Linked DNA regions of Caenorhabditis elegans. Changing the gene in region 2 together with the main gene of any one other region gives a genetic interaction. Each region holds a gene or a part of one and is shown on either strand. Other genes may lie near its edges. The genes, in order: unc-84 and cku-70.

Region 1 (7,574 bases), on a different chromosome or scaffold from region 2:
ATTTTCAAGCATATTCTCTCATTTTTCAAAAAAATGTTCAGTTTCTCTTTTAATTCCTCAGTATGCACTGCATTATAAGCTTTGATGTTTTCCCCATTTAAACTACTCCCTCTTTAAAACATATTTAACACTTGATTACCCATCAAAATCCCGATTAATTCGATCAAGATGTTTGGAAATTTGAGAATGGGAAATCTGATTAGTTCTTGATAAATTTGGTTTTTATATATTTTTTTAATATTTTTCACTCTGTGAATAGACATGAAAATACAACAAAAAAATTTAAAAATTGAAAATCTTCTGGAAAACTTTTGAATTAGTTTTTCAAAAAGTTGGCAGTAGGCTTCAAAAACTCAAAAAATTGATTTCAAAAACTCAAAAAATTGATTTCAGTTTGAAAAGCGGCATTTTCAATATTCTAGAAGAACCTGATTTCAATTTTTAAAAGTTAAAATTAGAAAAAAGTTTTGCTATAGTAAATAAACACCGTAGTTTTTGTTAGTTTCATAACCATGTGAATCCAATAGATCACTGTTCAAAAATTGTAGAAAAAGTCAACAAAAACAACACCAGAGATCAGAGCCATGCGATTGATTTGAGAATTTAAAATCATTCAAACCTTCCACGCAGGCCGAAGTAACTGATCTGGAAGTTGTGCTTTATAAAAAAAACAGACATAGTTCAGTACTTAAAGCGGAAAACATTGTGGACACGCAGATTGTGCTTGTGTTTTTGGTTGAGGGTTTATTTTACTGATAGCCTATATCTGACGTACTGATATGTATTTCATGTTCTTCTACAAACGTTTATTGAAAACTAGTAACTTCTCCGTATCTGCTCTTGACTGTGTCTAATCGTTACAACACTTTTCAATTGGGCTTGTAAATTAGCCTCAAGGTTACGTGGTAAGGCGAGACACACTTCCGATTCTTTCACAGTACTTCTCACCGATTTGTTGCCCATTGCAATGATGCCTAATTCCTTCGGCCTGTTTACGTGTTTAGAGGGCAACACGTAGATGCATGTTCTTCTCTGGTGTTCTCTCTTCCCATCTCACACTCCCTCACTCGGTTCCATCGCTTGTCACCGTACGCCAGACAACTACTCTCTACAAAAAACACACTGCCTCACCCCCTCTCCCCCTATCTGCTGTCCACCACCTGCACCATTCGGCGGGGGTGATGGCGATTGGAGACTGGGGTGACCGACCGAAACCATTAAATCGACGCTCACTGTTGCGTGTATGTGTGTGCCCTCCCTTTCTCCTCCTTTCGCCCAGAAAAACACTCACACAAACAATATCGATTCGAGTATAGTGTGCAAGGTGAAGAGACGGAGGGCCCGACGGGGTGAGCACACAAACAACATTGGTTTGAATTTTTTCTGCCTTGCGATGTTTCGAAAAGTTGCGTATTTAATTTGTTGTGATGTGATATGTTTTGTTTTTTTTGCCAGTTTTTTTCTCTTAAATTTCATAATAAAATCAGGCAGTATTATATATTCTTTTCTCAGCCCATCAAAACCAACAGGTGATTATAATCGTGAGAAACACGAACGTCTCCCAGTCTTCTTCCTTCTCAAGCCCTTTTGTCTTCATAAAAGTGTTTGCTCGTTCTGTAAAGCGCACAGATTTTGGTGCGATGAATCATGCGTAGTTCAAAATCAAACAAAGACAGAGACTCGATGCTTGCAAGTTTTGTTACTTTTTTATTCTCACTTCAATACTTCTTTTTTCACCGCTCTTTAATATCTTTAATATCTTCCTTAAAATTGTGTTTTGCAGGTACTATGGCTCCCGCAACGGAAGCCGACAACAACTTCGACACCCATGAATGGAAATCGGAATTCGCATCCACACGCTCTGGACGCAATTCTCCAAACATTTTTGCAAAAGTTCGCCGGAAGCTTCTCCTGACTCCACCAGTTCGAAACGCCAGATCGCCACGTCTTACCGAAGAAGAGCTGGATGCTTTGACAGGCGACTTGTATGTTACCCCCCTCCCCCTTTTTCTCATTCAAATTTCGCGCCACATACGGCCGAGGTTTCACGCGCACCTGCTAGGCCACGTTTTGTTTGTGTATTTTGGAACTCAGTTTGCTTGTACTTGACGCCCTAGAAGCCTTTGACAAATATGTAAAAGCTGTGTTGTTCTGAGCAGTGAGGTGGAAAAGAGGAAAAGTAGAACACCAGAAAGTATCGGGTTACAAGGGTGGGTTAAGGCGAAGGAATCTGAGCGGGAAGAAGAAGAATAAAGGTCACTTACCAGTGAGCTCTTGGTGGTTCCGTTTCTTTTTGAGTTTTAAGTCTGTGTGAATGTTGGTTGTTTAATTTTAAATATGTAGTGTTTACAAGTCTTGTATAAAAATTAGAAAACCAAGGCGAAACGAAACCTATAATAGAAGATTAACTTTTCCTGGCATTTTCAAATGTTGAACTTATATTCCTAATGTAATAAAATTTTCATAATTTCTTTTTCAGACCATACGCAACCAACTACACATACGCATACAGCAAAATCTACGATCCATCCTTGCCGGACCACTGGGAAGTGCCAAACCTTGGTGGTACTACTTCAGGATCACTCTCTGAGCAGGAGCACTGGTCAGCGGCCAGTCTCAGCAGACAGCTTCTCTATATCCTCCGTTTCCCCGTCTACCTTGTTCTTCACGTCATCACCTACATTTTGGAAGCTTTCTACCACGTCATCAAGATCACTAGCTTCACCATCTGGGACTACCTGTTGTATTTGGTGAAACTCGGTAAGTTGTTTTTCTGCAAAATGTTAGAATTAAAAAAAAAATTTTTTTTCAGCGAAAACTCGTTACTACGCCTACCAAGATCATCGTCGCCGTACAGCTCTCATTCGCAACCGGCAAGAGCCATTCTCCACTAAGGCTGCTCGTTCTATTCGTCGATTCTTTGAGATCCTTGTCTACGTCGTGCTTACTCCTTACAGAATGCTCACAAGAAGTAACAATGGCGTGGAACAGTACCAGTACCGTTCGATCAAGGATCAATTGGAAAATGAGAGAGCTAGCAGAATGACGACAAGATCTCAAACATTGGAAAGAAGCCGCAAGTTTGATGGATTATCGAAATCACCAGCACGCCGAGCAGCTCCAGCCTTTGTGAAGACTAGTACAATTACCAGAATCACTGCCAAGGTGTTCTCGAGCTCTCCATTCGGAGAAGGAACGTCCGAAAATATAACCCCGACTGTTGTGACTACTAGAACAGTGAAGCAACGCTCAGTTACCCCAAGATTCCGCCAAACCCGTGCCACTCGTGAAGCTATAACTCGAGCACTCGATACTCCGGAACTCGAAATCGACACACCACTCTCCACATATGGACTTCGAAGCCGAGGACTGAGTCATCTGAATACTCCTGAACCAACTTTTGACATTGGTCATGCTGCTGCAACTTCCACGCCTTTGTTCCCACAAGAAACTTACAATTATCAATACGAAGAAGCGACAGGAAATAAGATTAAAACTGCATTCACTTGGCTAGGTTACTTGATATTGTTCCCGTTCTTTGCGGCACGACATGTATGGTATACGTTCTACGATTATGGAAAGAGTGCCTACATGAAGCTGACCAATTATCAGCAAGCGCCAATGGAGACTATTCATGTCAGGTATGAACATTTTAAATTTATGATGACCGAGTTCAATTTTTTTCATGTTATTTATACAGAGATATCAACGAACCGGCACCAAGTTCATCAGATGTTCATGATGCTGTTGGTGTTTCTTGGAGAATTCGAATTGCCGATTTCTTGAGCTCATTCGTAGCAACAATCGTTGAAGCGCATCAAGTGGTATTTGCAATGTTCAAAGGAGGAATTGTTGAGACAGTTTCCTATTTTGGAGGACTATTTGCTGGTCTTACCGATAAGAAATCATCAAAGTTCTCGTGGTGTCAAATTCTCGGTCTACTTCTGGCTCTTCTCTTCGCCATCTTTCTCCTTGGATTCCTGACATCTGACAACACAGCAATAAGAGTTAAAGAAATTACCAAAGATAAGAATGCATCTAAGAAGTCGGAAGGATCCCTCCCAGCTGTGCCAATCTGGATTTCAGCTGCAAATCACGTTAAACATTACACATGGATGGTGAAGGAATTTGTTGTAGATATTGGTATGTTATAAATCTCATTTTTCTGTTCAGTGTAGAAAACAACATCTTTAAATTCCAGCATTTGACACGTACAACTATGGAAAGTCGACGATTGGTAGACTTGGCACTACTCCACGTTATGCTTGGGACCTGATTGCAAGCGGATGTGGCGCTGTTGGAAATGGCTTAAAATCTGTGCTCTCATCGAGTTTTCGATTCATCGATTTTTGTGCTGGAAAGCTATTTTACTATGGCTCAGATGGGTTCTTGTCAGCAAACAAGTCTATCGGAACCTTTTTCAACGGTTGCTACGAGACCTTGTACAACGGATGCACAGCAATTGGTAAGGAAAATACAAATTGTATGCAGTCAAAATGTGGTAAAACTTTAAAAAATTAAAATTCGATCAATCCATTATGCTGGAAATCTTTAGTAATTTTCAACATCTTATCAATGGGACATGAGTATTAGCTTTTATTTTTCAGAACAGTAATTTACTTGGTATTTGTGAAATAGAAAACTGAATTCCAAAATGTTTGTAACGAATGAAATAAAATGGAAATAAAAGTGTTGAGCAACATGCTAGTATTATTTTATTTTTCAGGCTTAGAACTTATTAACTTTTTGAGTTATTAATTGAGTAGAATCCTAAGCCTAAAATACCATTCACGTTTTATTTAATTTTTTTTGAAACATCAAAAAACTTTTGTAGTACCAGCAAGTACCATTTACACGTAAAAAAATGATATTATCTGTTTTCACTATTTGTATTTACAACAAGAAAGACACTACAAAAAACCAAAGAAAATCGCTTTTTTTACAGTTGGCCATACAAAGAGCTTCATCTACAATGCTTCAAATGCTGTTTACAACTTTTTCTCAACTATCTTTGCCGGTCTCTTAAACTTTTCTACTTCTTCCCAAAACTCCATTCTTTCTCTTCTCAAGTCATTTGGCACCGGAATCACTAACATTTTTTGTAAGTGCTACAATTTTCAAACTATAAACTTAAATGGTGTTTTTTCTTCAGATAACTTCATTTATGCACCAATCGCTGGAGTGTTCAACTTTGCTGGTGATAACTACATGTATTTCTTCAATGAGGTAGCGGCAGTCTTTGGAAAAGTGTACAACTCCGTGGTTTCCGTGCTCAAAACTGTAATTAACTGGATTCTCTTCCTCATTGCCTACCCATTCAGTTTGTGCACTCGTGCTTGGATTCGCATCAGCCAATATGCTCCAGAAGATGTTGTTCAAGTGATTCCAATTCCACAAGCTATTACCCCAACTCCGGATGTGGAGCGTATTGTTGAAGAGCCACTGAGAAAAGTCACCGATGTGGAGGACGAAGAACTAGTGATAATTCCCGCCCCCGCACCTAAACCTATCCCAGTCCCAGCGCCAACTCCGGCCCCAGTAATTATCCATCAGACTAACGTTGTTGAGACTGTTGACAAAGATGCTATCATTAAGGAGGTAACGGAGAAGGTAACTAACTAATCAATTATTGAATGATTGATGTTTTGTACATATGTACATAATAAAGATTTTTGTTATTTTTAGCTTCGCGCCGAGTTGTCCGCCCAATTCCAGCAAGAGCTTAGCGCAAAGTTTGAGCAAAACTACAACACAATTATTGAGCAACTGAAAATGGAAAACACCAACATTCAATATGATAAGAATCATTTGGAAGCTATCATCCGTCAAATGATCTACGAGTATGACACGGATAAAACTGGGAAAGTTGACTATGCCCTGGAGAGCTCAGGTGGAGCTGTTGTGTCAACAAGATGCTCGGAGACGTACAAAAGCTACACAAGGCTGGAAAAGTTTTGGGATATCCCAATCTACTATTTCCATTACTCTCCAAGAGTTGTCATTCAGGTGAGCGCTTTAGGATCCTCTGACTCCAAGCCTATTATCTTTTCATTTTCAGAGAAATTCCAAATCCCTGTTTCCTGGGGAATGCTGGTGCTTCAAAGAATCCCGTGGCTACATTGCTGTCGAGCTGTCTCATTTCATTGATGTTTCTAGCATCAGCTATGAGCACATTGGATCAGAAGTTGCTCCAGAAGGGAACCGGTCGAGTGCTCCAAAGGGAGTCCTCGTTTGGGCTTACAAGCAGATTGACGACCTGAACTCGAGAGTTTTGATTGGCGACTACACTTATGATCTTGATGGCCCGCCACTTCAATTCTTCCTTGCCAAGGTAAGTCCGAATGATTAATTCTTGACAAGTGTGTGGCTATTATCGAATTAACATTTTCAGCACAAACCCGATTTTCCTGTCAAGTTTGTGGAGCTCGAGGTGACAAGCAATTACGGAGCTCCGTTCACATGTCTCTACCGCCTTCGTGTTCATGGAAAAGTTGTTCAAGTTTAATTTATTTTGTTAATCTTGTTTTTATGGTCAAATTTTCAATTTCCATTGATCTGATTCCGAAATGTTTCAATTTCACCCCTCTCCTGCCAATTTTTCAAATCACAATTCATTTTCCCAAATTTTTCCAGTTCCCTTGTTATATTTTTAGCGCGTGTCCATTTTTTTTCAAAGTATAGAATATCATTACATTTTCATGCAGTTTACCGGTCTCCTGAATACTTGGCCTGAATATATTTGAATGCAAAACCAATCACTCTCTATTTCTCTGCAGCCTTTACCCCCTGATCTCAAAATACTTTATCGATTTTCATAAATTATTTCAATATCTTTTGTTCTTGTAAAACTGAACTAAAACCCATTATGTGGAAGAGTGAATAAGTGTTAGATTGGCATAACAAACCGTAACCGATGGATTCGCAGCAAACGACATTAATTGAGTATACCGCCTAACACATTCATTGATCATTTCTTTTGTATTCCTCGGGCTATATATACTAAACCATGCGAGAGCGTTAACATTGTATTTTCTTCAATTTTCATGGAGTCCTGTGTAGATTTAAAATTACGAATTTTCAAATTTGTGGCGTACTCTGTCGTTGGAAGCTCAGTAATAGCTACAGCGTTTCTTTGTGTAACACTACCGTTGATTTACGAGCATGCACAAAATGGAATGATGACTATTAGCAGAGAAGGAGCATATTGCAAGGTGAGTGATAAACTAAGCATTAGTAATGTTTTGTGCTGAAATAGTTTTTAGTAGTGTATACCTGAACATTTTAGTAATTGAAGTTCTTCCTAGCAAAACATAATTGTCATTTTACATAGAAGTTTGCGGCAATTAAGAGTATAATATTTTCAGAAGTCTATAAACGAAATCTGGTTTGATATGACCGAAGATGTCGACATCGTCCACAATCGAACAATTCGCGAAGCTTACACTGTTACTAGAGGTGAAGGTAACACTGGTTACGCTGTTGGAAGAGGAAGCAATATTAAACCCCGCGGCTATAATACTGGGTATAGATCCCAGAAAAAGAAGAATAATGGTTGGAGAAGCCCACCACGCAGC
Region 2 (5,100 bases):
TTCCGGCAAACCGGCAAATGGGCGGAATTAAAAATTCCGATAAATCGGCAAATTTCCGGAATTGAAAACTGCCGGCAAACCGGCAAATTGCCGGAATTGAACATTTCCGGCAAATTGCCGGAGTAGAAAATTTCCGGCAAATCGGCAAATTGCCGGAACTGAAAGTTTCGGCAAACCGGCAAATTGCCGAAATGGAATCTACAGCCAAATCGGAAAATTGTCGGAATTGAAAACTTCCGGCAAATCGGCAAATTGGCGGAATTGAAAATTTTTGGCAAACCAGCGAATTGCCGGAATAGAAAATTTCCGGCAAATCGGAAAATTTACGGAAAACCAGCAAATTGCCAGAATTAAAAACTTCCGGCAAACCGGCAAATGGGCGGAATTGAACATTTCCGGCAAATTGCCGGAGTAGAAAATTTCCGGCAAATCGGCAAATTGGCGGAAATGAAAATTTCCGGCATATCGACAAAACCGGCAAATTGCCGGAATTGCAAATTTCCGATAAACCGGCAAATCGCCGGAATTGAAACTTTTCTAACTTTTTCAAACTTGAACAAAACTCAAATATCAAATTTTTTTCCGTGAAAATCCCAAAATTCCACGTTGGAAATTTCAAAATTCCAACAGCAAAAAAAAAAAACGCCGCGGACAAAATTCAAAATTCAATTTATTCCTAAATTTCGACTCGGTGGTGTGTGCGTGAGTTGTTCAACAATGTTCAGTCGACTAAAGCAAAAAGTGAAAGAAAAGACGGGCAGAAGCAAGGCGACAGTGCTTCCCGCCGAAATCGACGAGGCGTTGATCTACTTCAAATCTCTGAAGCCCCGCGTCCAGGATCTCTACAAGCACATGGCAAATCTGAACGACGTGGCAAATTGGCAAGTGAAAGCCAACTTTTCAGGCCCACTGGAGAACTATGCTCTGCTCGGAGATCGTATCAACGTGCAACCGTTCATCAATTGTGTCGACACGCGGATGGAGGCAGAAGTCGAGTCGATGGATAAGGTGCTGGCGATTTGTGAGCGGTACAAGGCGTTCACACAGAACGAGAGTAAGCTTCACACAAATACAATTGCCAATTTGAATAAGACACGTCTCGATATGGATAGTGCTGCGAACAAGTACGCCAGCAACGACACTGACGTCAATCGGACTCGGTTTGATGATGCCACTCGTGAGTTTGAGGTGGCTTGTGATCGGATGCGTGAGTTGGCGATAAGTATTCAGACAATTGAGGAGACTCATTCCATGTGGCAAGATGAATTGATGCGGGAGATAAAGGCCGGAATGAGGAAACCGAATTGAGGTGGTGGTGGTGGTGGTGATGGATGAGAAATTGAAAATTGAAGAGATCTCACAAAAAAACCTTTTTTTTTTTTGAAAATAAATTAGGTTATTATGAAATATTGTTTTGCCAATTTTCTAGGCGGCGTGGCCTACACGATTTCAGGCCGCTCTTTATGAAAAGCTAAGTTCTGGCGTCGAAAATTGCCAATTTCTTGAAAAAAAAATACCGGAAATTGTTTTGTCGAAAGCAGTGGTGGACGGCAATTGCCGTTTGGCAAATTCGGCAAATTGTCGGAAATGCCGGTTTGCCGGAAACTTTAATTTCCGACAATGTGCCGGTTTGCCGAATTGTTGCCGGAAATTTTTTATTCCGGCAAGTTGCAGATTTACCGGAAACTAAATTCCGACAATTTGCCGATTTACCGAATTACCGTATATTTTCATTTATGGGAACTTGCCGGTTTGCCGTTTTGACGAGAACTTTCATTTCTGGCAATTTGCCGGTTTGCCGAATTGACGGAAATTTTCATTTCTGGCAACTTGCCGGTTTGCAGTTTTGCCGTAAATTTTCAATTCTGGCAATTTGCCGGTTTGCCGTGACGGAAATTTTCGTTTCCGGCAACTTGCCGGTTTGCCGAATTGCCGCAAATTTTAATTTCTAGCAACTTGCCGATTTGCCGGAAAATTTCATTTTCAGCAATTTGCCGGAAATTTTGATTTCTAGCAAGTTGCCGGTTTGCCGAATTGACGGATATTTTCATTTCTGGCAACTTGCCGGATTGCCGAGTTGACGGAAACTTTAATTTCCGACAATTTTCCGGTTTGCCGGAAATTTTCAATTCCGGCATTTTGCCGATTTGCCGGAAACTTTAATTTCCAACAATTTGCCGGTTTGCCGAATTGCCGGAAAATTTAATTTCCAGCAAGTTGCCGAATTGCCAAAAATGAAAGTTTCCGGCAACTTGCCGGTTTGCCGGAAACTTTCAATTCCGGCAATTTGGCAATTTGCCGTAAATTTTCAATCAATTCTGGCAATTTGCCAGAAACTTTTAATTCTGGCAATTTGCCAGAAATTGTCATGTCCGGCAATTTGGCAATTTGCCAGAAATTTTCAATTCCGACAATTTGTCTATTTGCCGGAAAAAAATCGTTCGAATTTTCAAAAAAGTGGTGATCTACCGAAATTCTGCCAAAAGTCAAAAGAACAATCAATTTTTTGCCAAAAAATTGCCAGATTGCGTATAATATTCTGAAATTGTAGATTTTACTCGAAATTTAACTGGAAATTGCCAATTTGTCGAGATTTTGAAAAATTAGAAGTTTGCCTAATTCACTGCGAAAATTGTGCCAAGTCGCCAAAAGACGACGAATGCCGAGAAAAAAAACCACGAAAATGTCAGAAATTGTCCGCGATTTCCGCACCTTCCTCCGCAATTTCCTTAATCTTATTCACTTCTTCCTGTCCAAGAACACCCATCGGCACAAGCAGAGTGCTATTTTCGAGTCCCTCGGTCTCCGAGTTTTTCTGTAATTAAAAAATTATTAAATTTTCAGAAATTCTTCAGAAAAAACTCGTACAGTACTAGTGACAATCACTCCGATATGATTGTTAAGGCTCCGCGAGCAGCAAACACGGACTATTTCGTCGAGAATGAGCTTCAGAGCAAGCTTGAACTCTGGCGGCTCACCGGCTTTCGACGTTTCGAACATTGCCGGATTTCCGTCAATTATGAAGAATGTGTACTTTTTATTGGCCGTTGAACCCTCGAAATCGTCATCCTCGAAGCGGGTTTCGTCCATCTGGAAAAAAATTGATTTTTTTCAAACTTTTCTCGAAAAAAAATTCAAATTTTGACTGAAAAAATCGAAAAATTAATTTTTTTTGAATTTAAAAATATTTATTAAAATATTTTTGTTCTCAAAAACTTTGAAATTTGACATTTTTCAAGTTTTGAAAATTTCGAAAGTTTTTTTTTTCAAATTTTTCGAGAAAAAAATATCATATTTTGTCGATTTACGGAGCTCGTGACTGAAAAATTAAAAAAAAAAAACTTCTCCTCGAGGAGTACACCAGCTGCGTAAATAGACACACGGTTTTTATGCATGTGTCGATTTACGACGGATTTTGAACTACACGTGGACAAGTTTGAGTTCAATTTTTTTGCAAAATCTCGACTTTTTTTTTGGCTAAAATTTCAGTTTCCGAAACATTATCCCTCGTAAATCGACAACCCCTGTGTCGATTTACGCAGCAGCCTTCGTGTACTCCTCGAGGAGAAGTGTTATTTTTTGCTCAAAAATTTTAATTTTACAATAAAATAAATTACTTTGCATAGAAAATTTGAAAATAGCGAAAATGTTCAAATTCTCCCCGTAAGTCGACACAAATACTATAATAAATTGAAATAATTTTTTCAGAGATGGAAAAACTCCAAAAATTCAGTGAAAAAAGGGAGAATTAACACAGGATTCGATTGTTTATCAGATATGATTTGAGTATTTTCGGGAATATTTTTTTGGGGAAAAATAAAGAATTTTTCACTGAAAATTAGGAGAAAATGGAAAAATGGAGGAGGAGGAAATGACTTGTGAAAAAAATTAGGAAATTAGAAATTTCGACATAAAAAAGACGGGAAAATCGCAAAACTGGGGGGAAATTTTCAAAAAAAAAAGAAAATAAATTCATTGAATTTTCATCATTGGCGCAAAAATATATGAAAGATCCACTCGATTATAGGCATTTTTCTCCAAATATTTCTCATTGATTCGATCAGCCAACATCATTGAATCGATTTTGCACCCATTATATTCGACACGGACTTTGGCGGCTTCTGGAAAAAAAAAACTTTTTTGAAGAAAAAATTGTACAAAATTTCCTGGAAATCGAACTTTTAATGCTAATTTTTAGTGAAAAATTGTAATTTTCAACGAAAAAAAAAACTCAGAAATCGGAGAAAAAATTTACTGAAAAAAAATTACGGATTTAAAATTATTTGAGCCAAGCTTTTCAAAGAATACGGTACCGGGTCTCGATACGACAAATTGTTGTTGAATGCGAAAAAGTGTGCGCCTTTAAAGAGTACTGTAGTTTCAAACGGATTTTTTTAATCGATTTTGCGCATAGAATTTCACACGATTTGTTAAAACTTAAGCGGTTTATTTCAGTTTTTTTGTTTAACGAAAAACTGAAAAAAATGGATGAAAATTTCTCAAATTTCATCCAATTTTTTTCAGTTTTTCGTTAAAAAATATGCTTTTTATTAGAAAAACTGAAATAAACCGCTTAAATTTTAACAAATCGTGTGAAAATCTATGCGCAAAATCGATAAAAAATTCCGTTTGAAACTACAGTACTCTTTAAAGGCGCACACCTTTTCGCATTCAACAACAATTTGTCGTGTCGAGACCCGGGCGCAAAAATCGTGAAATTTCGGGATTGAGTAATAAAATTATAAAAGCCGAATAATTTTATCTCCGTAATTTTTTTTTTGAAAAAAAAAAATGCTGAATAGCTGCTGAAATAGAAAATAAAATTTTTTAAGTAAACTTTTTCTCCGAACTCTGCGTTTTTTTTTTTGAAATTACAATTATTCACCAAAAGTTTACATTAAAAGTCCGATTTCCAAAAAAAAAATTGAAAGAAAATCACATTTTTTAAATCGAATTTTGAATGATTTTAACGCAAAAATAGTTAAAAATGTTCTCCTAATTCGGTTTGTTTCCATTATTTTCGAGATTTTCCGCTAATTCTCACGATTCTTGGCTGAATTTCGCCGAAATTTCCCATTTTCTAGGGATTTTTCCCATTTT

The links.
Region 1: of cku-70 (region 2) and unc-84, changing one enhances a phenotype caused by changing the other (phenotypic enhancement), as found in Caenorhabditis elegans (one study listed by BioGRID).

What each region holds. Positions count from the first base shown.
Region 1 is NC_003284.9:13,582,992-13,590,565, forward strand, and holds unc-84 (Nuclear migration and anchoring protein unc-84), read left to right. Parts: upstream 1-1,783; 5' UTR 1,784-1,788; coding exon 1,789-1,985; intron 1,986-2,479; coding exon 2,480-2,760; intron 2,761-2,812; coding exon 2,813-3,641; intron 3,642-3,700; coding exon 3,701-4,143; intron 4,144-4,201; coding exon 4,202-4,465; intron 4,466-4,945; coding exon 4,946-5,101; intron 5,102-5,152; coding exon 5,153-5,610; coding exon of another isoform or gene 5,611-5,622; exon of another isoform or gene 5,623-5,680; intron 5,681-5,685; coding exon 5,686-6,006; intron 6,007-6,058; coding exon 6,059-6,331; intron 6,332-6,391; coding exon 6,392-6,505; 3' UTR 6,506-6,830; downstream 6,831-7,574. Other genes in the region: col-9 (Nematode cuticle collagen N-terminal domain-containing protein), read left to right, coding at 7,044-7,211, 7,365-7,574. UniProt on the Caenorhabditis elegans protein: Involved in nuclear migration and anchoring in hypodermal precursor cells. Most likely recruits anc-1 to the nuclear envelope where anc-1 functions to tether the nucleus to the actin cytoskeleton.
Region 2 is NC_003281.10:11,152,817-11,157,916, reverse strand, and holds the start of cku-70 (Ku domain-containing protein), read right to left. Parts: upstream 3,091-5,100; coding exon 2,869-3,090; intron 2,816-2,868; coding exon 2,713-2,815; intron 1,309-2,712; coding exon of another isoform or gene 718-1,308; intron 1-717. Other genes in the region: Y47D3A.31 (BAR domain-containing protein), read left to right, coding at 718-1,308; pola-1 (DNA polymerase), read right to left, coding at 3,973-4,121.